Mytilus edulis: one gene and its partners. The protein of the gene in region 2 purifies or fractionates together with the protein of the main gene of each other region. This does not show direct contact. Links are inferred from orthologs where the notes say so. Each region holds a gene or a part of one and is shown on either strand. Other genes may lie near its edges.

Region 1 (7,706 bases), on a different chromosome or scaffold from region 2:
AGTTTAATGGCCTGTTATAGATTACACAAGGAACACATGATATTCTCCAAACAGGAGGATATAGTGTCTTTCACAATAGAGCACATGTTGCCTGCTGAATCAAGAATTACTTACCCGATACCAGGAACACTGGACCCTCCTAACAGAAGCATAGTGTCTTTAACAATAGAAGCTGAATGGCCTGCTTTAGAAGATGGGATTGAGATAAACTTACCCTATTCCAGGCACACTAGAGCCTCCAAACAGAAGCATAGTATCTTTGACAATAGAAGCTGAATGGCCTGCTGTAGGTGGTGGATGTTCTCTAGAAATACTGGTCACTAGGTACCATCTGTTGACCTCTGGTTTGTACATATGTAATTCATAGAAAAATCCTGCAGCCTGGAAAAGGTGAAACATCAAACATGTCAAAATCTAAATCTTTTTTTACTTTTCATTTAATGACAAAAAATTGGTATTTGATTTAATACAAATAAACCAACACTGAAGCCTGAATTTACACATTTACTGTCATAAATTAAAATATTTACTATTGAAAATCAGCTTTCAAACCAGATACTATGGATTCAATTATTTTCACCGTTGTCAATTTTCGTGGATCAAGGAAAACTTGCACGTTTGTGGATACTTAATTTTGTGGTTTTGCTGAAGTCTACATACATGCCAATCATTCCAATAGGAAAATTGTCATTCATCTAATTTCGTGGTTCACCTATACCCACAAAAATTAGTATCCAACGAATAATAATGAATCCATAGTACATCGGTTTTCCTCATTGTTGAAGGCCTGACTGAGACATATATACATTTTAGTTGTTAATTTCTGTGTCAAATGGTATCTTGTCATGCTTTGTGGAGAGTTGTGTCATTACCTCAGTCTAAACATATACATCAAGCACATGCAAATTTTATTTTTGAACCAAAATAAAAAAAAAATCTGAACATGCTATAAGACAAATATTCATACTACAAGTCAAGACTGGCCGACCATTAATACATTCCATAAAGAAAGAATTACCAACAATAGATTATTTTCATATGAATAGTTTTAAGTTTGCACAGCAATCTGTAGCTTTATAAATAGCTTACACACAACAAAGTATGCTTTTTTGTATTTCCTGATTTTTTTCGAATTCGTTATAACCCACCTGGTGTAAGGGATAAGGAGTAGGATGACTCCATCCACCAAATAATACCAAGCTGTCCTTATATACCACCATACTGGAACAGGCTTTAGGTGATGGATAGGTTCCTGCAACAAAAACATTTGTTATATGATTAACAAATGATTAAAGATGTTCTCTTTACTCCTTGGCTAAAAATGTAGGAAATCTTCAATGATAAATGTTATATTTATAGTTGGAAAAATAAAGTCAATAGTGTAGGCCCCTTTTTATTAATCCTTGCAGTTCAACATTATATTAATAATTACTGTTAGTTGCTCATTTGTAGTTCAATCATAATTTTTTCATTTAAACTTATTTTCAATATCAAATAAAACAACATTAACAAAAAAACCATACTTTGACTTTATAGCATTGAGAAAATCAAACATACTATTCTAATTTCCCCATAATCAATGTAACCATGTGACACTGCTACACGACCCCATAGGCCAAAACAGCTTGTAAAATCCAAACTTCTACATAAAATTACCCATTGCTAATGGCCTAATCCATTCTCTCCTTGCCAGGTCAAACCTCCAGAGGTCATTAAAGGTCGTGTTCATTGATGTACATCCACCAAATACATACAATGACTTGTCATAATAACAAGCACAATGGGAGTATCTTTCTGTTACCCGTATGATATCGATCTCTGGTGCAATTTTTGTCCATTTCACTTTACTCTCATATACACAGTTTTGAAAGGTCTGTCTTAGTTGTCTTGTCACACCTTTGATATAAAAAGATTATTGTTGACAACATGGTTAGTAAAATTGAAAATGGAAATGGGGAAACCCTATAATTGCTTACATCTAATTCATTTGAACTTTGGTGGATAACTGTCTCATTGGCAATCATACCACATCTCCTTTATTTCAATATTGACATGATTGATAAATCATCATTTTTGTTATTTTAATCTATTTAATAATTTATGGCAATACCTGGCACATCAAAACACTGATTATACAGTTAAATAGAATGTGATCTACATTGTACATGTTGTAACTCAAAAAAACTTTCTTAAGGATTGTCATGATTGTTTACATATTCATCATTGGTTGGGTATTAAAATAACAACAAAGATTCCAATGAATTCAAAATCAATATGAAGAAACATTATATTGTCGCCCTTCGCTTTATTTTATTATCTTCTATACACCTTATCCCTATTTCAGACCTGTCAACCAAACTTGATAATAAATTCAAAAGTATTACAAAATTCTTCATGTGAAAAATTATTAGGTGTTAAAATCGACAACACACTTAACTGGAAAAATCAAATTGACCAAGTTTGTGCTAATAAGCCTACTATATCATCCAGAACATACCTTCTTTCTAAAATAAAGAATTTTTTAGATATAAATGCAAGGAAAACATATTACAATGGGTATATTCTTCCCTTAATTGACTACTGCTGTATTATTTGGGGTGAATGTAAAAATGAACGGATAACAAGAATTTTAAAACTCCAAAAAAGGGCAGCAAGATTAATTCTAGATGCAGATTTACCCCCCTCAGCCCCCTTATTTAGAAAACTTGGGTGGATGACAGCTGACAATAGAAAAAAATACCACAAATATTTACTTCTATATAAATGTATGCGTATGGAAGCACCAATGTACCTAGTTCAAAAGTTTAAACTGAAATCAGATAATAATCCTTACTCCTTAAGCATGTTAAGAGGTGTACATGTCACTCAAGGTAATCGGATAGTTCCTAAGCCAAAAGCTGAACTATTTAAGAAATCCTTTGCTTATTCTGGATCAGTTTTATGGAATGGACTACCACACACAATGCGTAAAGCTCAAAACACTTTTACTTTTAAGCAAAGTATCAAGAAGTACCTAACACAACCCTGATAAGAAATGTTTGCTACAATGTATTTGTATATTTTTTAATTTTTCATTTTCAAAATTTGATTTTTTGACTACATGTATACATCTTAAACAGCATTATATCTTATGTTAATAACAATACATTGAACTACAAGAGTGTAAATTAACTATGTGTAAATATCTGTTTTGATTGTATTGTAATTTGTACATGTATGTGAGGGCCTCAGGGAAGATTAGTTTATTGTAACTAACTGAGTTTACCCTCTTTAAATAAAGAATTTCTTATTATTATTATTATTATTATTATTTGGAGATCTGCACCTCTTGATCCGAGCATCTGCTATGCTTAAACAATTGAAGTCATACAACAATCACTTTTCCATTGTAGGGTCAGAAATTTTATGATCTTTGACAGTTTTACATCTGAGGATGACCTTTGCAGCTCTAGGGGTATGTTGTTCATTATCCATTTGATATTTTGTTAGTCTAAAAAGTTGTCTGTGATTTTTTTTCTTCTCATACATGTATAATCATGATAATTCTCAATATTAGAATAAGATTGATTGATTGCTTATAATCCATTGGCAAATTATTTCATGCACATCTAGGACTAGTCCAAATAATTATGACGTCTTGAAAGGCTATAATAATTTTTTTCTTTGACGCGTCGAAGTAAGGCGTCAAAGAAAAAAATTAGAATAGCCTTTCAAGATGTCATAATTATTTGGACTAGTCTAGGACATGCACAAATTAACAATAAATAATATAGGAAGGTTGTTTAACACCTTATCACTGTTTGCCTGCCATTACTGGACTGTTGTGGACATCACTGAAATTTATGCTGAATTTCTCTTAAAATTCAGACGTCATAATACAAAATATCTGACAGATTTTCAAATAGTGATAAGGTATATAGAGATTAGAAGCTGTCTGGATGAAGGTTCAGGGCTATTGCATCTCTGGATCTATTCATTATAATACCAATGTAAATATAAGTCTGAAAAATAACAGTTTCAGAAATATAAAAAGGCTTTCATTAAGTATGAGGAAAATCGCAATCGAAGTCAGGTTTTATAAATTAAGGAAATAATCTTTTAGTTTTATCAAGGATTTGTATAGTAAGAAGGATTGGAATCTCGTGGGCTTTTGCATAGACTATACCAATCCTTGGTTTTATTCATGTTATTTTACCTGCAGCTAACCGGTACCAACGACGACAGACAAGCATGCATGACTTGACATCACGATATGGTGAAACCTTGGATAAAATAAACTCTAATATTTCTTCAGGCAGATCATCAATATTCACATTAGATGAACAAGTGTCGAAATCCATTTCCATTTCCAAACATATGTAAGGAATTTGGCTAGCTGTACGAATGCCAAACCTTGTAACATAAGATGCATGAAAAGTAACGAAAAGCTCCGAATGAAAAAAAAAAGAAATTTCGGACTTAACAAAACCCTGACAAAAGAAGAACCGACTGTAAAAGTGCGATTTGTTATTTGAATATTGAGGGTCAACTATTGATGGGAGATACTCGAGATACATTAAAAAAATATATTTCATAACAAATGATTCAGTTTAGTCAAACTTCAAGACATGATTTAGAAGAATAAACATAAAACAAAACAAAAATATATTTATCACCGGAAATATGATATTTAATTTGTTCCCGCGTGATTTTCCTTCGATACTTCTCGCGAGTTTACCCAAAATGACTTAAATCCTATTTCGACCTGTGCAAAAATTATCTTGATGTATTGTAGGTGTAAGTCTTATAACTGTATCACCCATTGCTTTGATTAATGATTAATCCAATTCTTATTCCAAAATAAAAATACAGTTGGTAGGGTAGATTGTCATGATAAAAATACCTAAAGGCATGTGTAGGATTTAATAATGTCCTCCATGAAAAAATGGCCACAGACCACAATTAATTCCTCTATCAGTTCTTTATAACCTTTTGCATCATTAAAAAAATTGCACCATGCACTTTTGTCCAATTTTTTGTGTGTGTAATGTATTGTCCTAGTCCAAATATATATCCAAAATTCAGAAAGATTGAAGCAATCACTTTTACAAATTTAGCCAATACACATCCATACCCCTATTGACAAGTCAAGAGAAGTTCCGAAAACTGTAAATATCACCTTTTTGCACTTGACCTAATCACTCATTCCATATAAAAATCAGTTAAAATACAACCTCCAAAAATTTATTTGACCTCTCTTCTTTCATTTCCACCCAAAAAGATTTAAGGAATGAGTGAGGAAAGGAAAGAAAAAAAATTAAGGAAAAATACACTCTAATTAAAAGGAACTATATTCGTGGACAACGAAAAGCGGGGTCATTAATTGTGGTCTTGGGCCAAATGTCCACTGGACACATTTTGACAATATTTACTTATTTAAATGTGTCCTGGACACAATTTCCTATGAAAACATGTCCTTAGGTATGAAAAAGTGTCCATGCACATGGACATTATTCACTACCATAATATTGTCCAGGTGGACATTTTTTTCACAGGACATTGTGTCCGCCAGGGCACTTTTTGATATGATTAAAGTATTAAATGATTCCATTGCCTTGTTATTACTGGACGCATTTTAACTTTAATTATGAACTTGAATTAATTGTTACTTTGACATAAAAATTGTCTCATTGGCACTCATACCATCCTTATCTTCATATCTATTTTTTTTAATATAATTATATACATGTTAGATGCTGTTCTATTTTATTTTCCTTTGAAGACACAATTAAATAACATTCACTACGAAAATTTGTTCAGCAGATGGACCATATTTCATAACTGTTGCTGTAAAATGCTGTCCACTTAAATGACAATATTTTATGGCAATGGACATTATTTATTATGCCCCACCTACGATAGTAGAGGGGCATTATGTTTTCTGGTCTGTGCGTCCGTTCCTTCGTCCGTCTGTCCGTCCGTCCGTCTGTCCCACTTCAGGTTAAAGTTTTTGGTCGAGGTAGTTTTTGATAAAGTTGAAGTCCAATCAACTTCAAACTTGGTACACATGTTCCCTATGATATGATCTTTCTAATTTTAATGCCAAATTAGAGATTTTACCCCAATTTCACGGTCCACTGAACATAGAAAATGATAGTGCGAGTGGGGCATTCGTGTACTGAGGACACATTCTTGTTTTCTATTGCCTTCTTATCTGACATAATAAATATTACAAAGTTCTTCATATTTGATTTTACACTTCCTTCTTATTGTTATTCTTTCATTGTCATAACCATTTGTTGGGAATTTCTTAGAACTTAAATTTCTCTATATTCACTTCCATCCATTATTTATTTGTTTACAATAGACACTAGACACTAGACAATAGACAATATTTTATTCGCACAAACACATTTACATTAAATGGTTATGGCATACAAAATTAAGACAATAAACTGACAATAGTTAAATTGTATATTGATCAATATACAAATTACATTTGTATATTGATCAATTTCTCACCAATCCTTCATATTTTAATTAAAATTTAAGTATAATAAAACTTTGTAATGACCTTTGTATTACTTCCCTTAGAGGACACAATTTAATAGCAACTACTATGAAAATTTGTCCTGTGAGTGGACACTATTTCATGTTGTTAGCAGTAAAAATTGTCCTTTTGAGGGACACCATTCCATGGCAATGGACATTATTAAATACCAAATTTCAATGAAAAAGTGTCCATGTGGACACTTTTTCATAGGACACAATTATGTCTTACATATGCTCTGAAAGGAAGTAAGAAAAACCAGTTGTAAATAATTTTAATTGTATATTCACAGGCACTTGTTTCTGTCAATGTGGGGTTTACTATCCATACCAGTACAAAGATTTTTTGTACTGGTATGGATAGTAAACCCCACATTGACAGAAACAAGTGCCTGTGTGTATATTTTTGCGAACGTTGTAAATGTAATTTGTAAATAGCCAAGAGAAAACTTTCTGTATTGCCCGACACTGTGTAAAGTTTTCGTGCAGAACCATTAACATTCAGCTTTGAATCTGATTCCTTACCTGGAAGAAGAAAAATGACAGACAATGAACCATCATTTTAGTTATTAATTTGAAATTGCTCTTCTTCAGCTAACAGTACTAGTTTGTAAAGAGACAATGATCAACAGGATAATAAATTTTTCATGAAACAAAGGCTTGAGATTTGACCAAAATTGTTAAGAAGGAAGGAAAATGCCGCAATAAGCATGAACATGTGCAAGTCTCACGTTAATCATGTTAATTGGGGGTGGGTCTTTTCAAAGTCAAACACCACTGCACACTGTTGAACACCAACCACTACATTGTACTAAAAACACTGATATTATACAATAAAATCATAAAATCATGATTAATCGCAATCACCAATAAGCAGATGTGCTATTATGCCTATATATATATATATACAGATTGAATTAAAAAAGCTTGACACGCGTCGGTGAATGAATTAAAAAAGCTTGACACGCATCAGTGATAAACAGATTAATCAACTAAACAAAGTCAACATCAAAAACTCTTTAGAAAAATAAATAGTCTATGTAACTTTCTACATGTAAACATAAAATTACCAAATTAAGGAAAAACAATAATTAACAGTAACAAAATGTGCTATATAAAGATGAATTAATATAGCTTGACACATGCAGTGATAAATAGATTAAACAGATCAATCAGAA
Region 2 (7,196 bases):
GTTGATAACAGATCGATCACTTCATTAGTTTCCAAGAATGAGCTCTGTAGGCAACCGTTTGACAGTGGATGTATATTCTGTGAATCGGAAGCATCGATGAACGGGCATAAATTCTCATCTACCACGTTGTCGGATCGTGTTGTCGAATTCATATCAAATGCTAAATCGGCGTCTATGATATCGGCTACGGGTTCTGCGTCCATATCGGCGAGTTGTATATACAAAATTTCTTATATAATAGAAAAGATTTATAGGAAATAACGCAATACAGTGTTTTTTTATGTTCATTTTAAATATATAACATGTTGTATAATCATTCTTATTTATAAGATATCTATATATATAAAATTCTGATTTGTAGAAAGTAACGCAATACAGTTGTGATCATTTTTTTGGTGTTTCTTCTAAATAGAAAATATGTGGTATAATTTGTGCTTTCTTAACTTGATATATTTCTGATTTATAGAAGGTAACGCAATATAAGGAAATGGCTTATTTCATATTTTTAATCACATACTAAAAAACTTTTCAATACAAGAACAGTAAAAATACCCAAGCATTAACAATATCACGAAGTGGCAACACCTAGCCGTAAGGCAGCAATGATTGTGACAGATATTCTTTTGATGAGACTGCCTTCAGATCAGACATGAATACTTTCATTTATGCTTGTCTTTCGAGAGGAGTATCAGTGGTATTCATGTCAGTTATGAAGCGGTCCGGGCCTTGGTATTGCACTCCCGATGAGCATACAGTTCGCCGAGAGATAGTGAACAAAATGATGAAACGCATAGCTCTTGAAAATCATTTTGTACATTATTTCAAGCCAACTAATGTTTATAGGGTGGAATACGAAGCTCGTGACGGGATACATTTCACTGAAGAGGGTTACCGTGCCTTCTTAGTAGCTTTGAGGAAGTCGGTCAGTTGGTTTATTAACAAAGTTAGGAAATGAACTGAACTATTTTCTCAATGACTCCACGTGCAATGTATTTTGTTTAAGAAGAGGGTTTTTTTTAACATCGAATGACTAAAATAATCCAAAAGTTCTTACATATTTTATAATTTACAAATTAGAATTTGCCAGAAGAAAGCTTTTTTTAACAGGAAAACTCAAATTAACTTTATTAAAATATCTTTTTTTAATAATTTTTTATTTTAAATAATCAAAAATTATTGGTGAAACATTGAACATTATTACCCTTTGACAGAAAACTAACATAGGATGTACATATTGTATATAGTTGTAAATATTTATTTGTGTTCTATTTTTCATTATTATAATTATTGGTGTTGGTAATGCAGCCTTGGTATACCAAGACAGTCACAAGCCTGTTTAATGCAGAGTGTCCATACTGTAATATAATTTCATTATCTCTTAATGATTAATTATGTAATGGGCACGTGTCAGTAAACAACAACCCAATTAACAATCTAACAGAAGTGTGAGGTAATGATTATTTTGTTTATTGGAACTAATTAACTCATTATCACTTTCAAATTATTCAATGTATGAAAATAAATAAAAGTAGCAATAAAAAAAACGTAAATACTAATTTTAGAAGAATATTAATTGAGTATTATTTTATTATTTTTAATTCTGATTTTTTAGTAATTTAAATTAAGTAAATTAAATACATTTTAAATGAAATAAGAAATAAATGAAATATAATAAACTAGGTGAAAGATTGTCTTCTTTGAAATTAAATATTTTATTTTATTTTTCTTGTACCATGTTTCACTCTCTATTAATAATATAAAAAACCCAATTTCGCATTTGTATAGCTTATAATAAAAGGTATGTATGAAAATTACTTACCTTTCTAACGCCTTGGCCATGTCATACTTGTTGTCTGTAAAGCAACAGTCCTTACAAAGGAACTTTAGAGACACATCTGACCAGGCCAATAACAATGCATCATCCATTGGGACACAAGCACTGTGAACCCAACGATCACAACAACTGCATTGAATGGTGCAATCAACACATTCTTCATCACATTGAACACACGGATATAAAGCCATTTTGAAAATGGAAGACAGCACACATGTATTCATGGCTTTTTATACAAAATTAAAGTGACTTGTAAAAACATTTATATTTGCCAATGAAAATCTTATATTTAGTTTTGAGAAAATTTTATTAGAATAAACATAAAAATCATCCATTCAGAAGCTTTGTTTTTATTAAAACAATCAATTATAATAATTTTTTGATTAGATTTGAATTGAATATGTGAAAATTCTTAATTACATTTTATTTAATGTTGAGTAAATTGTTATGAAAAGTAATTAGTGATTGGTGTAATTGCATTGCTTTGATGTACTGGTTAAATTTTCAAATCCTTTCTGAAAAACAATTATTAGACAATTCTCTGTATATACAGTAAATTATTTAATACTATATTTTCATAGCGTTTTCCTTTGAAGGCATATATGCAATCTTTCTTTTCTTCATTTCTTACGTTTTCCTTGGTCGCCATCTTGGAAGTACACACCGATATCCATAATTTTATAATGACCAATATTAACTTACCTGCAACTTTTTTTTTATTTTTAGGTTATAAAATACACTTCTATTATAATTTTATTCAATAATATATGTTTAAAAGTCACTTAAATGTGTTAATATTGATATTTGAAGAGTTATTCGGTAATTACATGAGTTATTCGGATAATAACACTGTTATCCGGTAATTCGAGGTACCGCTGTTGAACAGGAAATTAGTACAGATAAATGTGTCACACAAGTCTAATGCAGAATAATTAAGAGTCAAATAAGAATTAATGGAATTCAACAGCTAAATTAAATCTGTCTCTCACAAATTGTTACTCACAAATGCTTAAAATGGGCAAAATATAGGTTTTCGGTCGAAAACTCAACACTTTGACAGCCATGTTGAATTTTCATGTGATAATACTCGTTCGGATGTCTCTTGAGTTACCAACTAAATATTATGTAAATTCAAAGAATTCCGAACATGAAACGTAGCCGCGGATCGGATAAGTACACATACGAAAAATAAAGAATCGGCTCAAAAACACGTTCGCCCCCTTACGTGGTCGCCCCACTAATGTTGTAACGACTCGGCCCTATTTGATATTCTGTTTCCTAATAGACAGATAACGTAACGGTACCCAAATTGCACCTATTAAGCCAAAATAGTATAAATAATCTTACAAGATTTCCTAGAGACCGTAAACAATTTGTATTTTTATGATTTGATACCACGCACATCTTTCAACATAGGTAAAACTATTTAGATATGCACAAAACGTTCACAGTATTTATCAACAGGTGAAGTGTTTACTGAAAAATCAAAATGTACTGAAACGTCACCATGCGACGTCATCAAAACGTCATCTTTTTAAAATGATCAAATACAATATGTTACAAGTCTCCAGTTATAAAAAAAAATAAAGAGTAAGCATGGACTAACATCCAGTTGTTCAAAATATTTGAAGAAATTAAACAAAAGCTCTGTTATTAGAATTTTTACAGTGCGAATTTAAGCATGGATGCAATTTGGATACTCCTCATTTCAGAATTATTGATGGTTTGGGGGTCAGTTTAGACCAATTTTTCTATGATTCCATATGGATTAACAATCAAATTGGTGTACCTATATAATAAAGAAGGATACGGCTACAAAATAAACACAGAATGGATTTTTTTTTCTTTATCATAAAAAAACGTAGGTGAAAAAATGGTCAAAATAGGTGCAATTTGGGTACCGTCATGTTAGATTTATTTCGGTAAAATACCAACCGTATTAACTTTAATAAAAAAATAGAGTGGAACTTTACACATATTTTAATTGTTAATTAGAACGTATCAATTTAATTTGTCAGTTGCGGAACAATTATCAGTTACAAATTGAATGTAATTTAATTTGACAGTCTGGATTCTTCTATACTGACCAGTTGTCAGTTAACCTGTTTTCTTTGTTAGTACTAGAACACACCCGTGATATCGCGGGTCCGTGACTGAATTAAAGTATATAACTATGCGCAAGCATTATTTTAGTATTAGTATTGTCATCTGATAAAGTCATGCCGATTATAAGATACACAGTTTTCTCTGCTTTCAAATTTTTCTGTTTGAACCCGTCGAACTGTAACTTATTTTTTTGGTAATATTAATTATTTGGAAAACAAAAGGTCCTGGAATGGAGTATTTTTTAATCAACAGCATTGTCCTATATTAGTTATAAATAAAGTTGAATTCTTTGATTCGCTGTTTTACGTCATGCCCGCTAACAAATTGAAAACTGTACCTATATACGGCTTATTTTTAGTCCAGTATTCGTATTGTTATCTTAGAAAGTCTTACTAAATAAAATAGTACAATAGGTAACAATTCGACAATTTAGTAGTGTCAACCCTGTGATCATGACCCGTGTATATAGCATATCAATCCTGAATACACCGTTTGTTGGTGCGCCTGTCAGATGCGGAACGTACAGATAAGGTAATAGGTAACAGGTGAATATACTATTGGTATCGGTATCGGACTCGACCCGGAACTTCTTAATTATTGGCAATATTAATTACGTGGAAAACAAAAGGGCCTGGAGTGGTGTAATTTTTAATCTACACCTTAGTACTATATTAGTTATATATAAAGTTGAATTCTTTGATTCGTCGTTTTTACGTGATGACGGCTGACAAATTGGACCTCGTAATTTTAGTATTATAGATACCTCGATTTCTATACATTTTTTTTTATGGATAGTGATTTTGGTCACATGTTCATTTTTTAGGGGCATTTCTGTTGTTTATGCACTTTCTTTTCAATTTACTCACTGAACAGCTAAATATCTGGGCATTCACTACAAGCGAACTGAAAATGGTCAAAACATACAGACAACATAATAGCTAATGGCAACAAATTTTAGGGCTTCTTGAAAAGAAACTTAAAAACACCATGTCAGAACATCACTGAAACTCAGGCATATCTAACACTTGTCCAACATAAGTTACCTGTACCCTTGTGTTGCCCAAGGGACGAAGAACTAATATTGTAAGTCTATCTTTACTAACTTCCAGCTATTTTTCCTATTCTTTTACCACTGTCTCAAACACCATGAACACGGTAAAAGCAGTACTCAAAACAACCACCCTCATATTATTTTTGGCTAATTGTGTCAAGCTAGATTTAATTGTCAACTGCAAGACTATAAGCTCAAACAGAAACATCAAAGTAAATAAAGAGGCACCAGACAAATCTTGGTCAGTAACAATATCAAACCAAGAGACATGTAAATCAAATATACACACAACATCAATGATTATACTTACAAGAAAAACTAAAACTATCAAATATGATAGACTGGTATTGACATACCTATGTAGCATTCTCTTAACAAACTTGTATGCACTAGAGTCAAACCCTGGTCCACCAAAAATATCCACGTGGATCCTGCAATAAAGCCTGCACTTGGAAACAAAAAGCAGTATGCTGTGACAGCTGTGATCAGGGTACCATATAAATTGTCAAGGTATCGACAATAAAATGTATAAAATACTTGACAAAAGCAACCTATCATGGGAATGTATAAACTATGGTATGCCAAACTTTTCAGCCAATTTTTTTAATAGCACCATACTCACTGGGGTAAAGCTGATGACCGTAACTGCATTCACGGTCATCCCAAGATGTCGGATGAAAAATTAGGTCAGTTTCTGTATTGTCTATTAAAGTGTTTCTATATCATTTTCTTTACAAATCATACATTGAAACGATGAAAATTAATAAAAGAATCACTCGGAAATCACTAATTTCTTCCGAGAAATGTGCATGAAACGGGAAATTCGATTTGAAAAAATCTTGAAGATGACCGTAAATCATAATCAAAATATTTTCAAGATGACCGTAACATATAACAAGGATGACCGTAATTTGTAAAGACTGACTGGTAATTTATATAGAACGACCGTAACTTTTATAGGATGACCGTCAATTCTAAGAAATATCCGTATTTGTATTGAAAGCTTTTTGTTGAGTTTGTCGATCGCAATAGGGGCTCGGTTGGCGGATATAAATATGTTAAACTATAATATAATTGGCCGTATTTGGGATTTATGACAATGATAGTAATTTTTGCATATTTCTCGTAAACAATGAAATATTTATTGATAACGACGTTAAAATTTTAACACAAATTGACAGCGATACGACGAAAATTTGAAGAAACATGAATGTGTCCCTGGTACACAGATGCCTCATCTACACTATCATTTTCTATGTTAAGTGGACTGTGAAAATGGGATAAAACTGTTATTTGGCATTAGAATTAAAAAGATCATACCATAGGGAAAATGTGTACTAAGTTTCAAGTTGATTTAACTTGAAGCTAGACAAACAGACAAACAAACAGACGAACGGACGAACGTACGCCCAGACCAGAAAAACATTATGCCAATTAATGGAGCATGAAAAACATTAATAATACATATGGATATTCGGTAATCGAGCCCATGTGTATGGTTCCAGAGCAAGCAGATTAAAATCTTAATTTGTCTTGAAATATGCAGGCGGAAACACTCTTGACATAGAACAAAAGAATCGAAGCTCTTTGTTAGAGAAGGCGATAAATGTTTACTGTAATGTTTACTATAGTGACAAAATTTTTAAAAGTTAATAGAAACAAATACAACGACAATTTTCTTCTTAATTACGAAGTGGTTTTTTAAAAAAAACACCATTTGCATAAGTTTTCAATTTATCTATTACATACTAATGCAAAACACTAAGATATCAAGTCGACGACATGGGTATCTGTAAGTTGGATGTAGAAAATGCTTAACCTCCGATTTATTTAATTTTTTTTAACGAGGGACGGAGAACATATCAATCTTTTAGTTCAGAAGTTTCGTGTCTGCCCTTTCATTATGTGAATCAAGAAAAAATTCCCAAAATAGGTAACGATTGTATCGAAAAGAGAAAATCAAGTGCACCTTTTTATGTTAGGGCATGTTTGAGGTGTATATTTTGTCTTTAAAACGTACAAACCAAAAGTATTTGATATATCATCTCGCTTCAGATTCTATCATTTTTATATATCAAAGCTACAGGTTGACTTTATAACGTAAAACATGACATTACGAAAAGATGAAAATAGAATATATGGGTCAAGTGAAATACCTATCTAATGAATCACAAAAACAGTGTGTTCGAATAGCTATTTTTTCTA
Region 3 (7,881 bases), on a different chromosome or scaffold from region 2:
TATGTTGCTGTGTTACATGTTTGTACATGAATTAGGCTGTTAGTATTCTCTTTTCATTTTTTTTTACATTTGTCATTTGAAGTAATGAATGAGGTTTTATATGTTGCTGTGTTACATGTTTGTACATGAATTAGGCTATTAGTATTCTCTTTTCATTTTTTTTTACATTTGTCATTTGAGAACCTTTACAAGTGTGATAGCTGACTGTGGAATGAGTTTTACTCATTGTTGAAGGCCATATAGTGACCTATATTTGTTAATTGATGAGTCATTTGGTCTATTGATGAGAGTGCTCTCATAAATTTGCAATCATAATGATTATGCTAAAAGTCTTATATAGAACTACAATTCAGCTGGAGTTTAAATTGTTCAATAAATTAGAAATACAAACTGTTCTACAGTGACATGTACATTATTTTGGATAATTTTCAGTTCTTCAAAGTTGATTACAGTACTATATAAAGTATGTATTGAAAATTATAAACAGAGTAAGCAACAAGGGTGTTAACATATTTGCACTTTTGATATTAAGCTGAATTTTATCTACAAATAACTTTAGATCTGCTCTAAATAACCTTTTGATGTCAAGTAACAGTGAGTCACTTTTTAATTATGATCTAAATTGGTTAAAAAACTTGTGATGTCATATTTTACAACAACTTGTGTGATTTAAAGTAATGGCAGACAAATATGCATACAAGTGTAAATATGTGTATTATATATATGTCATACCTTCTAAACTGTTCAATTGTATCCTCTAAAGATGCTTCAACATTTCTCTGAGTGTCATTTAGGTATTTCAGTCGTATCCGAACTCTATCACTCTGACTAGAATTAGTTTCCGATTCAGAGGAAACATTTATTTCAGCACTGTTCAAATTTTCAGTTTCATTTTTAACAGACTCAGTTGTTTTATTGGATTCATTGTTTTGTAAATTTGATGGAAGTTCATTGTTTGATGAATTTGATGGGTTTCTGTCATTTATAACAATGGTCTCTGATTCATGATTTTTATTTTCTTTTTTTGTCTCTATAACTTGATTTTTATCAGAAAAGAATGCAACCCTTCTACGTCTCAGTTCAGTTTCTGTTGTAGGCAAGTCATCACTATCTTCATTTCTGTCCTCTAACACCCTATCTTCCCCTGATTCTTCTGTAATCACATTTTCGTTAGATGATTCTTTTTTGTCTTTTGTCTTTGATACATCATCTGTTTGAACTGGAATTTGACTTACTGCTCCTGTCACTTGTTCGTTTACACTATCAACAGAGGAGGACCTACTGGCATTGTCAGTCTCCTCCTGAATGGATGTGTCCCCTGTTGATTCCTCACTAGAGGTAGAACTTACAGCAGAACTATCACTTGCTTCAACACTGTTAGTCTGTTGCGCATTTCTATTCTGTCTTCTTGTGAAGTCTATTACAATGATACTAAAGAAAGGTAGTTCTTGAATATTTGTTGAAAACCATGCAATACAGAGAAGTAGAAATATTAGAAAAATGGTAAAAACAACAGTAACTTCATCTCCTATCCCTTCAATAAGTGGCATATCTGTGTACAGGTGGTACATACACTTTGAGTACCTGAAAATAAATCAGAAATCTAAATTAATAACACCAATGATTATCTTTGGTTAAATATCTCATTTCTCTGTCATCTTTTATTTATAAAAACATTAACGGTACAAATTTTCCTGCACCAGATGCTTATTTCGACAATGTAACTTTCATAGACTTGGGACAATTTAGAGCTTGACATATACATTTGTAATGTGGACATCTGTATTCATTTGGTTGTGAGAAGCGATCAAGATGTAGACTGTACGTACATTGGTTGCTTTTGTCATTGGGTAGATGTCTCATTGATGAATACTGGTATTCACCAACTACAGGAGATCCAAATCGTATAATGAATGTCAAAACAATTTGTATATCAGCCTATCCCTGTTGGAAATTTTCATCATTGGACAAGATCATCAGATATGAAAATATAACTTTTTAACAAGTGTAAATTAATGTGGGTCAAGGGGGACTGTTTCTTTTTTAGAAGATATTGGAACAAGTGTACAAACTACTTTGTGGATTGACCTATTTCTTTAAAAATATTCGCTACCAGTTTGTTTACTGTTTTCGTAAATATTGACCAACAAATCGCTTCGTCTTCATCGACACCTGTCAAACACAACGCCACCTATAGTTTATCAATCTGGCTTAAATTATTTTTTCCTATGAGCAAAGGCAATAAAGGAGAAACAAAAAGGAAACCAGATGGCAACAATAAATTCATTGTCGGTATACGGAGAAAGACCCAAATTTTACGGAAACCGTGCATCCGCAAAATTAATGAAATATTTTATGTATAATTTTACTAAAAAATGCAATACATCATTTTGACCTTACAACAAAGCCTATACTATTATATGGGTGTGAAATTTGGGGATATTTTAATCCCTTTACTGCACATTTATAAAAAAGAAAACTTATCGGTGGATACAATCTACTCTAGGATACTTTGTGAAAAACTTCATACTAAATTCTGAAAATATATTTTAGGTATAGAAAAAGTACAAACTTTGCAGTTTTGTCTTAATTATGACGTTTTCCTCTGCATTATGACATAGTCAAACATGTTTTAAGATATTTGCATCGTTTTTAAGGTATTTGCATCATTTCCTTTGTTAAAGGGCGCATATGATTGTTCTAAACTTGCTATTTGCAAGGACGTATAACTAACATACGTCCTTGCTATTTGTAACAAAAAAAAAAAAAAACTCTTGGTATGGATCAATTAATATTTTAAGGGAAAATATGTCAGGCATATAAAACCACATACCAGAAAAATATTCAACATTTAAGATCATTTAAATTACACTGGGGTCTGATTGTTAAGGGATACTATACTGCATTGTTGAAAAACAGCTAGATATACATACCTTCATGATTTGATTGATATAAAAATTAACAAGTATGATTTAAGATCACAGGAAACAGCAGTACTCCCAAGAGTTCGAACTACTAAGTATGGCTTAAGATCGTTTCGCTATAATGCTACACAAATCTGGAATGAGCTACCGAACCATTGTCGAATGGAAACATCTTTGGACCAATTCAAAAAATTGGTACAAACATGGGATCCAAGTAACAGCTCATGCCAGTGCAGTGCATGCATAATTGTAGTGTTTATGCCTGTTTTATTTTTACTTTTATTTTTTGTGTGATTATATGATTTGTGCAATCTTATTATTAACTTGTGCTATGTTTTAAGTGTACTATATGCTTTTAACTTATATATGTCATTTATGGTATTTTACTATGCATTATATGTTTAAAATTGTGTTGTTTTAATGACTTTTGTATGTGTGTATTGTATTGTGTGTGTGTGTGTGTGTATTGTATTTTGTTATTAAGTCGATTTGAAAAGCTCACTAGAGCTTGTGTTATGTAGTTTATTGAATATCGACTCTAAATAAAACTTTGAAAAAAAAAACGACTTTGGTTTTGAAAATTATTTGTTGATAATGCGACTTTTTGAGCAAAGGAAATGTATTACTAGATTAAGAATATCTGCTCACAAAGTTGCAAATAGTGAATCTGGCAGATACCAGGGTTCTCTCCGACAAAATCGAATTTGTCTCAGGTGCACCTCGAGTGAGGTTGAGGTTAAATTTTTTATTTAAATGTGACATCCATTTATTAAAAAGAGAGGAATTGATGCACTATATATTAAAATCATGCCCAAACTTTCAATATTTACTACATACTTATAACAAATCAATTTGGATAATGAATAATGAGGATTCCAATGTACTATTTGCATTTTATAAATATAAGTTATAAAAATTGAAGAATCGAAAGAAAAACATAATCTGCAATAACTAATTTCAATTTAACTCTTGACTTTGATATGATTGGGTACCCCGTTAACGGCCCGCAGAGACCCATAAGAGTAATTTCAAATTCCGAGTCTAGCACCGTCCCTTGCTGAGCCTTGCTGGCTGGACACAGAATCTATAATATTAAAAATAAGTTTTTTAAAATATATTTTAAATAATTTAGGAGTTTGACTCATCTGCACTAAGTACAAGTAGGGGGTTCCCTTTTAATAAGCAACTTGGTGTTTACTACAGATTAGTCATATTTTAAAATAACCTTTATTAAATATATGCTTGTTATTTACAGTATACCTCATAGACTATGTATTATATGTCTCTGATAGAACTAACAGAAATACTTGTAAACATGAGGCATTTGTAACAATTGCGTTTCTATATGGTTTCTTGTACTGGACTGAGACTACTATAACACAGTTTATTATCAGTGGCGGATCCAGGGGGGGGGGTTCCGGGGGTGCGCACCCCCCTTTATTTTTGCCGATCAATGCATTTGTATCGGGACATATGTTTTGCACCCCCTGCACCCCCCTTTCAGAGGCGGATTTAGAGGGGGGGCCAGGGGGCCCGGCCCCCCCCCCCCCTTTTTGAGAAAAAATTTTGTTGCTTATATAGGGAATCATTGAAGCGTGACTGGAGCGGGGCCCCTCTTAGGTCAGTCAATGGGCCCCCACTTATGAAAATTTCTGGATCCGCCACTGCCTTTGCCCTGGGTTAGCACCCCCCCCCCCCCTTTCGAAAATTCCTGCATCCGCCCCTGTTATTATTATAATAGTATCAGTACTGAATGAAGCAACCACAGATTTCAATATGAAATTTATTTTATAATTAATCTTGTGTGTTTGACTGTGTTGCTGGGAACAGTTAATCTAACTATATATCTGTTCCTGCCTGAGCAGACATAGCCGACATAATTATATCTATGCCTTGAGCTATAGTCACGATGTTATCACCCAATGCGTAACAATATATCGGACTAAGTAACATAACCTGATCCGGGAATTGGTTTTGATAGTATTCACTCCTTGCAAAAATCGTATCATATGATGTGAAAATGGCTCATTCTGCTCAAAAAGGAAGATTAATTGCAGTAATTGGGGATGAAGTAAGATTAGAAACTTTATTTTATGTATATAAAAACATTTAATATTACACAAGTAGTTCCGCGAGGTAGTATACAGTTCGCAAAAAACTCTCCTTACTTAATATCCAAATAGAGTAGCCCATGTCCAACCCCATCTGGATATTATGGTTACCCATGGCATATCTGTATATTTATCTCTGCCAAAATATGTAATGCTCTCTTAATCTTACAGTATCAAAGTATTATTTTGGACTGTTAGTTTTGTAATTGTTGCCCTTTCTGTATGATGTTTAATTTTGCTTTCATTATATATATTTGCATGCTTTTTCATTTTTATTTGTTAATATTTGCATGTTGCTGCATGATTTTTTATGTGATAGTCAGTCAAAGAGCTCACCAGAGCTCATGTTTTTGTCTGTTATTATGTATATATATGCTGACTAAATAAAATATAAGAGCCTCACAGTCACAGATTGTCACCTAGTGCATTTAGTGATACAAATTGGTGTTAAGTTAGTTAGTCCAAGTCATTATGACCAGGTAGGCATCATATCTAAAAATTTAATAGCTTTTCAAGACATCATTATTATTTGGACGTGTTACTTTGTACCTGTGAAAGGGGAAGAAGTTAAAGCAAAAATTTAGAATACTTTATCATGTTTATGATGTCATAATAGACCAATTTCGAGTTCATCTGTCACCAGAAAAAACTAGTCAATTATGCACGCTTTTATGACGTCATTTACCAGATAGAGGGGGTCGCCTGTATCCCTGCACTATTAACCTTCATCAAGCGTCTCAGTGATTGTCATTGTTCAGGATAAACTACAAATAATATTTGTTTTGTAAGTATGCGGGAATTTCTCGCTACATTGAAGACCTGTTGGTGACCTTCTGCTGTTGTTTTTTTCTATGGTCGGGTTGTTGTCTCTTTGGCACATTCCCCATTTCCATTCTCAATTTTATTAATTACAATTCCCAAATGACAGCAGTGCTGATTTTCTATAAATTATAATGATAATTTATTTTGCCTAATCATTCATACAGTATAACATTATAGTTTCTCAACCACTTGCTCAACATTGGAATGGAAGTGACGATGCCCCTAAACGCACAAATGATGTTCACTAAAACCAGACTTTTTGACGGAAATGCATCAAACTCGAAAGTTGTCTATTGAATTATTACATTATTATCCAAACAGAATAGATTTTTTTTAAAAAAGTATATAAACATTTATTGTAAAAAAAACTCAACATCCATGTTATGTGATCTTATGTCTGGTAAAAAAATCAACTTAATTACGGAAATTTTTTATTCTTTTTCCTATTGTCATGATTGTCATGGTCATTAGGAATTTAATATATGAAGTCATTTTCAATGTAAATTTCTTTTCTTCGCTTTTTAAGATATACATGATATAGTTTTATTAAAACAATCATTTGTTTCTAAAAATAGCTACTACTACATGTACTATACTAAATTGACTTATTACAAATCTTTGTACAGATATAAAAATCTGCCCAATTGTATCTGAGGTGAGTTTGTCCAGGTTACCCAATATCAATATATCATATGAGGATCTTTTTTTAACCTGTAAAGACAGTTAAGTCCAAGACCTATTATTGATGACATAGTGATAGCAAAACACATTGGCGGATCGAGGGGGGTTCCGGGAGTTGGAACACCCCTTTTTTTTGGGTGATCAATGCATTTGAATGAGAACATATAGCTGGAAACCCCCCCCCCCCCCCCCTTTACTCTTGGTTGGGAACCCCTTTTTAAAATGGCTGGATTCGCCCCTGAAACAACAGGCCAATACCACATTAAGGCTAACTAGACTTCTGACCATAACTGGAACTTTATATCACAAACTGGAACTTAAACTCCATCTCCATGTTTTGTTACACTCATCATGCTCATGAAAGCTTGATGACAACTGGTTGTAGAAAATACAATGTACATGTACAATGTTTAATGTATTCAATGTTATTTAAGCTGCTTCATGTAATTTTGTCCAGAGCCTCTAATCAGATATTTTTTTACAGGATACCTGTACTGGGTTTTTGCTGGGTGGAATTGGAGAGTTGAATAAAAAAAGAGAGCCAAATTTTCTTGTTGTTAATAAAAGTAAGTATTTTAGAAATTTGATTTACTTTTAATTTTTTTTTAACAAGTTTTATTACCGGTATATTGTATGTAGATATAAGAAGATGTGGCCATGGTATGACTGCAAATGAGACAACTATACATGCAAGTCATAATTTGTAAAAGTAAACCGTTATAGGTTAAAGTACAGTCTTTTACATAGTGGGTCTCATTTGGGTCTAAGCGTGACGCAGGATTGACGATTTTTTTGTAAGTGTGACATGTGAAAGTCAAATTATTGTGATAAAGTCTAGCAGGACATGAGAAATTACAAAAAAATGAGAATTGCATACGTACATAGTGTAAGCAGGATACAGGAATCTGACAATGCAGTAAGCAGGATTCCCCCCCCCCAATGAGACCCCCAACATAGAGCCTTGGCATACTTATAAGTTACATGAATCTTTTAACTATCTTGAGGTCTAACCATGCTAACCCATTCCTTACTATGCCTTACTTTAACATTGGTTAAATTTCTAAACCTTATCCTAGATTTAACATATATTTTTTTCACTCCTGAAAAGTTAATGCCAGAGGGGAGCTATAAAAATCAGGGTTGGATCCAGCCATTTTGAAAAGGGGAGTTCCAACTATATTAATATCGCCCCATTCAAATGCATTGATCGTCCAAAAAAGGGGGAGGTCCAACCCATGCACCTCCACCCTGGATCCACTACTGAAAATGAATATAACCATTCAGTCACAATACTGATAGAAGAAGGATACCTTGAGGTTATAATGATATCAACTACTTTTAAA
Region 4 (7,370 bases), on a different chromosome or scaffold from region 2:
AAAGATGAAGCCTTGAACTTTACAGGAAAAATACTCCCACTGCTGGGAAAAATCTTTTAAGAAAGTATCAGTTCATTATGTCAAGCCATTATTACAGCATTTTTTCAACTAAAATAGATTTTTTTGCTAAATGATAGCATCAAAGGCATAAACCTTGCTACTTAAAAGAAGCAAAAAATTCATTTTCTTTCAATTTTACAAATGAAAAAATATTATTTAAACCTATAGATGTGTTTAAAATTTTGGTAAAATTACAAAATCACAATTTGTGACAAAACTTCGAATTTGCTACTCAAATTAGTGATTTAAAAATCACTTATTTCAGTAAGTCCCCTGACTGATGATAGCACAGCATTTAAACAATTCGTGACCTTGATTTTATACCTCAGAGCATGCTTCTTGAAAATTATATGCTGTGGGTCAATTGATACATTTAGGTTTCTCAGAATTGTACATCATATACATGTAACTAAAGTTAACATGGTAAATAAAAAAGGTTACCTGGTCCAGAAACAGCAAACACATTGCCAAACATAGATTCTCTTTCTTCATCTTTAATCTTTGGTAGACTACTCTTAGCTCTGTCTAAACCACCAGCCTAAAAATACAATTTTATAGACATTTGTAGTGAATATTTTTGCTCATAGTTTCTTAGCTAATAATTGTTTATACCCTAGTATTTGGAGTATTTTCACAACCCACTTTATCTTAATGTTACCATACTGATTGGGGTTTTTTTCAATAAAGAAAATTGTAAAAATGTAAATATGGTAAACATTCCTTTTTTATATTTTAGACATCTGCATTTAAATATGAAAGATACAAATATGACATTGCTTTAAGACATGTAAGAGGAAAAATGACAGTATGTCTGGTTTTCATTATATATGAGCTGTGTCCTTATGCAATGGAACTATACATGTACATATATAACTCCATATATAAGCTAAGACTTTAATTGGTTTTGGAGCATTCAAATATGAATTAAAAGATAAATTTTGGTTCCTTTTGTAGGGTTCTCATAACAACTCAATTTTAAATATTTACAGCCTTTCTGTAGAGATTTTTCAACTGTTAACAGATGTATTGGTATTCATTGGCATAAGGTCAATTTCTATCTGATATTATATTTAATAGTCACGATAGTGTCATTATGATAAAGAAATGAAGGGCAAAAAAAACAACATTGAAAAGCAATGAATAAATTATTCTTAAGCATGTTAAGTTTTTGCACAGAAACAACAGGAAATGGTATTTTCAAACCAACTTAGGACCACACCATATACAATGTATGCACGGCAGAATTGAAAAAATATCACAATTAAACTTAGCCTTCATTTTGATCATTTTGTCATCAGTAACAAAATATTCCAATTTGAAAGCCAGTGAGTTCTAAAGTTATGGCATAGAATCAACATAATGTACATTTTCTAATACACCTGCTCAATACATGTACATGTATATCATTATATTGAGTCCATTCCCAAAAAAAAACTAAGTCGTTTAGACAACTTCCTGAATCGCAAAAAAAAACAAAGGTCATCAGCATGAATGAGCTGTGTGGGAAAAAAAAGTTTGGAAAGCAAACATTTGAACATTTTTATAGTTTATGAAGCAATTTTTACAAGACAAATGAAAGTCATTAATTGCTTTGTTTGATGTGTTTACAATGGTTTTGTCAGTTCTACGAAAAGTTTTAAGCACAATATATTAATTGAACAAGGCCCCAGATAGCTTCAACTGTCAACTGGTGTGAAAAAGTTGGTGTAATTTTGGGGCAATGACCTAGGTATCATGGATATAATTCCTGAAAGGCAAAAGTGAATCAACATCATCAAAAGACATACATGTATGTCTGGAGTTCTACCTAAATTATGTTTCGAGATAAGATTGTACCGTCTAACATGTCTAAGCTTGTGTATGCTAGAAATATGATTTTTTCCCTATTTTATACTCCAAAAATTAAAGAAGCATAAATAATTGTAGATGGTAATTTTTTTCATAAATTTCCTGTTTACAAAAATATTAATTTTTCGAGAAGAACTAAGGATTTTCTTATCCCATGGCCATGCATTTATTCGCTTAGCCATATTTGGCACAACTTTTTGGAATTTTTGGTCCTCAATGCTCAACTTTGTACTTGTTTGGCTTTATAACTATTGATCTGAGCATCACTGATGAGTCTTATGTAGACAATATGCACATCTGGCGTATTAAATTATAAGCATGGTACCTTTGATAACTCTTGGATATTTCTATCAACATGATCAACGACCTGAAAGACCTTCAACATCAAAGTTAAGTGGTTGATAAAACCCTTCCCAGTTTTTCGTTAGCTTTCAAAATTTTCAGAAACATTATGAAGGCATCTGATTTCCTGCAAATTTGTATTGAAGGAGCAGATGATTTCTTGCAAATGTGTATCTGATTACCGAAAAGGATGATCATGACATGGGGATAAATGGGAAAATCCTGTTATAATAACCTTTTGGATCTCATCTAGAAGCAACTGCCTCAATTAAGTATAAAAAACAAGACATACTATAAAATCACTATTTTTAACTTGGTATCATCATGAATATATATGTAATAGTTGCCACTGGACATTACACTGTTACAGTCATTAAGAATACAACATTAATTCAATCTCCTGGTAAAAACCTGACAAGTTAAATCTGTTATGAGAATTCTAGAAAATAGATAGTTTAAAGACCTTTCAAATGCGGTCATTCATCAATGGTTAGTGGTTGTATATGTAAACTGTCATGACTGTAGAACCAAGAAACCGGCAAATGACTTCGAGTGGCTACATGGTGCATTTAGGATTCATGAATAACACATTTCTTAGTCGATCTTTGTAGAACTTCAATTGTTTTGTGGTGACTGTTTAACATATGTAGTATTCAGCCAATTCTTAAATAAATACTTACCATTTTGCAATGAAATATTGGATTTGTAAAATTATCATGTGATAATCGATGTCTTGAGAGAAAACGACTTCCGGTTTGATAAAAATGCTGAAGCGGTTTTGTAATAATATAAAACTTTATCGGCGAATAACGAATACCGATCCGGATAAATTAATTCAGTTGTAAATTTATAACAATTTCAAAGTAATCCCTTTAAAATATCAATGCTTATGAAATTACTTCAAAGTGGCATTAAATATGTGATATAAAATATTAAGAAAAAGTTTTTTTTCTCTCAATCTAATGAAAAAGTGAAATAATATGATCAGAGACATATAATACAATTGTATTATATGTCTCTGATATGATTCGCTTTTAAGTTCGCCGGATTTTGACTGACTTCAATTGTCATAATGATAATCAGCTTAGAAACATCGTTGATAGATTATTCGTCCTCCTTTCCCGAATGTTACCTACCGAATTAGAGTGATTTCTAGGTTTTTTAGACGAGGAACACATGTATATTGACTTTATACTAACATGACCGGCATAACGGGTGCCACATGTGAGCAGGATCTGTTTGGTACCATCCCGGAGCACTTGAATGATTGAGTCGATCCACAAAAACTTATTCGTAATTGATTTAATAAAGTTTCTAGTTGATTGGTTTATCATGAGACAAAAGCTGTTGTCAATTACATAAACAATTTATAACTTATATAATCCAATTATTTAAGCATTGAATATTCAACTGTAGAGAAGTCAATTATCTTTGAAGTTATAATAATTTAATCCACGAATACGAATACGAATATTTTATTCTCATAAACATATAACACGTTAAAAATAAAAAAGGGAAAATAAATAATTCCCATTTTGGCCCAGTTTTGATATTAACTTTTTACATGAAGAATATGTACATTAATTTGTACAACAGGGACATTAGATACAAAAATAATCATCAATTCTATAAAATTCGTCAGATTCTTTTCATTTTATTTGTAAGAGAGTTTTGATACTCAAATATAGTTACTTCAATTTGTATAAAACAGATTTTCTCCACATTATTTGGTACGTTTACTTCTATAACAGTCTTATCTAAAGAGTATTGACACTCTTTGTTGCATGCGGTTCTTTTATTTCTTTACTTCAAGAGTACGGTCTAGTACTATGAGTAACATTTATAATACCACAAAGTATTACTTTTCTTGTTATAGCTCTTTTTACTAAAGAGTATCAATATTGCTCTCATTTTTTAAGAGTAGCAATACTCAATAAAGCGGTACCTACCTCCAACGTTAGAAAACTCCGGTGATTTTTTTTTCTAGAACCATTTTTTAGCATCTAGACTAGAGTTTTTTTTCTGACAGAGTATCGATACTCTTTGAAACTGTTTTCTACTTTAAGAGATTCGAAATTCTTCAAAACAGGTTTCTACAATGAACATAATGATAGTATTGATACTTTTGGAAATAGGTTTCTAAATTGAGAGAATCAATATGCTTTTAAAAGATTTTCTACCTTGAGAGTATTGGTACTCTTTTAAACAGTTATCCACCTCGAGAGTATCGATACTCTTTTAAATAAGTTTTATACCATGAGTATATTGAGAGTATCGATACTCTTTGAAAAGGTATCCACCTCGAGAGTATCGATACTCTTTTAAACAGCTTTCTACTTTGAGAGTATCAATACTCTTTTAAATAGGTTTCTACCATGAGCATATTGAGAGTATCGATACTCATTTAATACATGTTTCTACCTTGAGTATGATGAGAGTATCGATACTCTTGTAACACATGTTTCTACCTTGAGTATGATGAGAGTATCGATACTCATATCTATTTTTCGTTTTTAAAAAACATGGAAAGATTTGAAAAAATAAGGACTAATATAAGACTATCTGAGGTATGTATTGCTTCCTTCGATCCACAGATACGAATGGAGTACACTAAAAAGTCACAAAAGTTGAACTTTGAACATTAAATCTTTTAAAGCATGACAGTGTATAGCATCTTGATGGATTGAGTGAAGTTCTCAAGAAAACATGCAACCAAAATGTAATAACCCCTGGCGTGAGACGGACAACAACACATTCAAATGTATCACTTCTAAGTGGTAAAAACAAGAATATAAATGAAGTTCATATTTTTTATAACCTAATAACATGAACCCCATCAAAAACAGGCGGTATCTCAGGTGCTCCGGAAGGATACGCAGATCTATTCCACATGTGGCACCTGTCGTGTTGCTCGGGTTAAAAGGGTCTCAATGACTATCAAAACAATCGAATATATTTTTATATTATCTTCAATATCCATCTCATCCTCATCTCCTATTAGGAATATAATAATAAGTAGTAAGGGCCATTGACAAAAAAAGAAAGATTATACTTTCATAGAACATTTTATAAAGATAAAGATGAATAACCTTTTATGCTTGAAAATTCAAACTTTCTCAAATGTATTATAACTAGATCAACTATGCCACACGCTCCAATAGTTAACCTATATTCTGTATAATTCCACGTTTTATGCATGCAAAATATTAGAAAAAAAAAACCAAATAAATTCATTGTTGTATATAAGTACATATTTTATTGCTTGATCATTATGAACGCTATTTTGAAATAAAGATTAAATATTATATCTTGTATTTTGTGTGTAAACATAACAATTTATAAATCATGTTTGCTTTGATCATGTTGATATTAATAAGTTAATCTGATAGGATTATTGTGTATAATTTAACGAAGACCAATCAAATAACATGATAAAAACAAAAACAAACAAAACGAAGAGAAGAGAAATGAAATATTATACATCGTTATACAATATTGTATCTGTTTGACAACTGCACGTTAGAAATAATTGCCGATAGTAATCGTTAAGCTCTGCCGTCAATCCAAGTACGATTGATGCCAGATTTTGATATTTTACTTTTAAGATGTGTTCTCAACAATATTTTCTGCAATGTTTTATGAATAAAAAAAGTTTCACAACACATATGTTCGAAGATGGATGGATAATAAAGTTCCTCAAGACTGATTTCCATATCTGGATTAAAAGGTCCATCAATACTGATTTCTTCAGATCGTGTGTACGTGTCCCTCATCATCAATTATTGACAATAATCTGAAAAAAATAAATGTTATTTTTTTGACAAAATGTTATCAAAATACATGAAATATTTGCAGATGTTGCGTTCTGCAATGACTTGCATTGTATATTACTGTCTGAGAAACTTAAGAAACCGCTTAACAGTAAATAAAGGCAACAGTAGTATACCGCTGTTCAAAACTCATAAATCCATGGACAAAAAACAAAATCGGGATAACAAACTAAAACAGAGGGAAACGCATTAAATATAAGAGGAGAACAACGACATAACACTAAAATGTAACACACATAGACAAAATCCCACGAGAATATAAAACTGTCTAAAATTGAATCTTTATCTATATATCAATTTGAATTAAAAAAAAATAGAACGGTGCATAATTACAATGCATTTAGGAACATGAAATTCAAGAACCCGATCATGTACCCGATATATATGCAATTTTTTGACCATCACAACCACTCTTTCAGAGGTCTGTTGAAAGTCAACTTTCTGGTCTATCTACTATAGTTTTCAAGAGTTGGTTTAAATTTTCCGACCTATACATGACGTGCTTACTCATATAACATATACCTATTGTATATTTTTTAAAGATTTTCTCGTCCTCAGTATGCACGTAATAATTGCCACTGGACGTTAAGCATGCCTCACTATATAAACAGATGTACGTGTTATTCTAATGGATAGTATTAATTGGTTAGCAGATCATTTTGTTTTAGTTTTTGAAATTATTCTGGTAAAAACAAATAAAAAATGTACAAAATTGAGCTTGACGACATATTCAAAAGAAGAAATGATTCGTATTTTCTATCATGTCAATATTTAATTTATATTTAAATGTGTTTACAGATACACATGTACGAATACACAAGCATGCACTATTTTCTTTTTTCGCCTTCTTGATTTTATTCTAAGCTTTGGTGGGTATTGACTTAACTTAGATCGAGAATGGACGAAAAAGGCAATTACTACTTATTTCACCTTTTAAATAAAAACAATCAATTTCAAACAGAATACAAAGTGTGATATCATATTAGTATTCATGTTATATGTCATGCATGTATACAGGCCGTTGTTTTGTTCATTTTATTTACATGTACAACCAACCCATTGAGATTGTGTATGTATTTTTTATAACTTATATTGTTATTGCATTAAAATATTGACAAATATTCCCTTTTGTATTTTGTATTGATTTGATAAGAACACCTATTTTGTCATAAACACTGTGGAATTGGTCATATGATGCAACGCATAGATGACTTACCTCCGGTGTTTCCTGTTCGCCCACTAGAAGCTGTCTTACATCGGATGGCACGGGATCAGTGCCATCCACAGAAT

The links. Proteins that work in one complex are often made in the same cells at the same time.
Region 1: the proteins of renin receptor-like (region 2) and coiled-coil domain-containing protein 115-like purify together in Homo sapiens (affinity purification with mass spectrometry; 3 studies listed by BioGRID and IntAct, counting the BioPlex papers as one, with this or other methods). This does not show direct contact. The link is inferred for Mytilus edulis from reciprocal best matches to the Homo sapiens genes ATP6AP2 and VMA22.
Region 3: the proteins of renin receptor-like (region 2) and V-type proton ATPase subunit F-like purify together in Homo sapiens (affinity purification with mass spectrometry; 3 studies listed by BioGRID and IntAct, counting the BioPlex papers as one, with this or other methods). This does not show direct contact. The link is inferred for Mytilus edulis from reciprocal best matches to the Homo sapiens genes ATP6AP2 and ATP6V1F.
Region 4: the proteins of renin receptor-like (region 2) and V-type proton ATPase catalytic subunit A purify together in Homo sapiens (co-immunoprecipitation; 3 studies listed by BioGRID and IntAct, with this or other methods). This does not show direct contact. The link is inferred for Mytilus edulis from reciprocal best matches to the Homo sapiens genes ATP6AP2 and ATP6V1A.

Annotation. Positions count from the first base shown.
Region 1 is NC_092356.1:55,207,632-55,215,337, forward strand, and holds the start of coiled-coil domain-containing protein 115-like, read left to right. Parts: upstream 1-4,697; 5' UTR 4,698-4,770; exon of another isoform or gene 4,771-4,776; intron 4,777-7,706. Other genes in the region: F-box only protein 42-like, read right to left, coding at 215-381, 1,149-1,252, 1,657-1,896, 4,196-4,346. UniProt on the Homo sapiens protein: Accessory component of the proton-transporting vacuolar (V)-ATPase protein pump involved in intracellular iron homeostasis.
Region 2 is NC_092346.1:95,455,064-95,462,259, reverse strand, and holds the start of renin receptor-like, read right to left. Parts: upstream 3,012-7,196; 5' UTR 2,899-3,011; coding exon 2,838-2,898; intron 1-2,837. UniProt on the Homo sapiens protein: Multifunctional protein which functions as a renin, prorenin cellular receptor and is involved in the assembly of the lysosomal proton-transporting V-type ATPase (V-ATPase) and the acidification of the endo-lysosomal system.
Region 3 is NC_092345.1:53,515,542-53,523,422, reverse strand, and holds the start of V-type proton ATPase subunit F-like, read left to right. Parts: upstream 1-4,872; 5' UTR 4,873-4,944; coding exon 4,945-4,995; intron 4,996-7,022; coding exon 7,023-7,104; intron 7,105-7,881. Other genes in the region: transmembrane and ubiquitin-like domain-containing protein 1, read right to left, coding at 733-1,571. UniProt on the Homo sapiens protein: Subunit of the V1 complex of vacuolar(H+)-ATPase (V-ATPase), a multisubunit enzyme composed of a peripheral complex (V1) that hydrolyzes ATP and a membrane integral complex (V0) that translocates protons.
Region 4 is NC_092348.1:77,322,728-77,330,097, forward strand, and holds the start of V-type proton ATPase catalytic subunit A, read right to left. Parts: upstream 3,010-7,370; 5' UTR 2,934-3,009; coding exon 2,931-2,933; intron 599-2,930; coding exon 502-598; intron 1-501. Other genes in the region: uncharacterized protein, read right to left, coding at 6,026-6,043, 7,297-7,370. UniProt on the Homo sapiens protein: Catalytic subunit of the V1 complex of vacuolar(H+)-ATPase (V-ATPase), a multisubunit enzyme composed of a peripheral complex (V1) that hydrolyzes ATP and a membrane integral complex (V0) that translocates protons.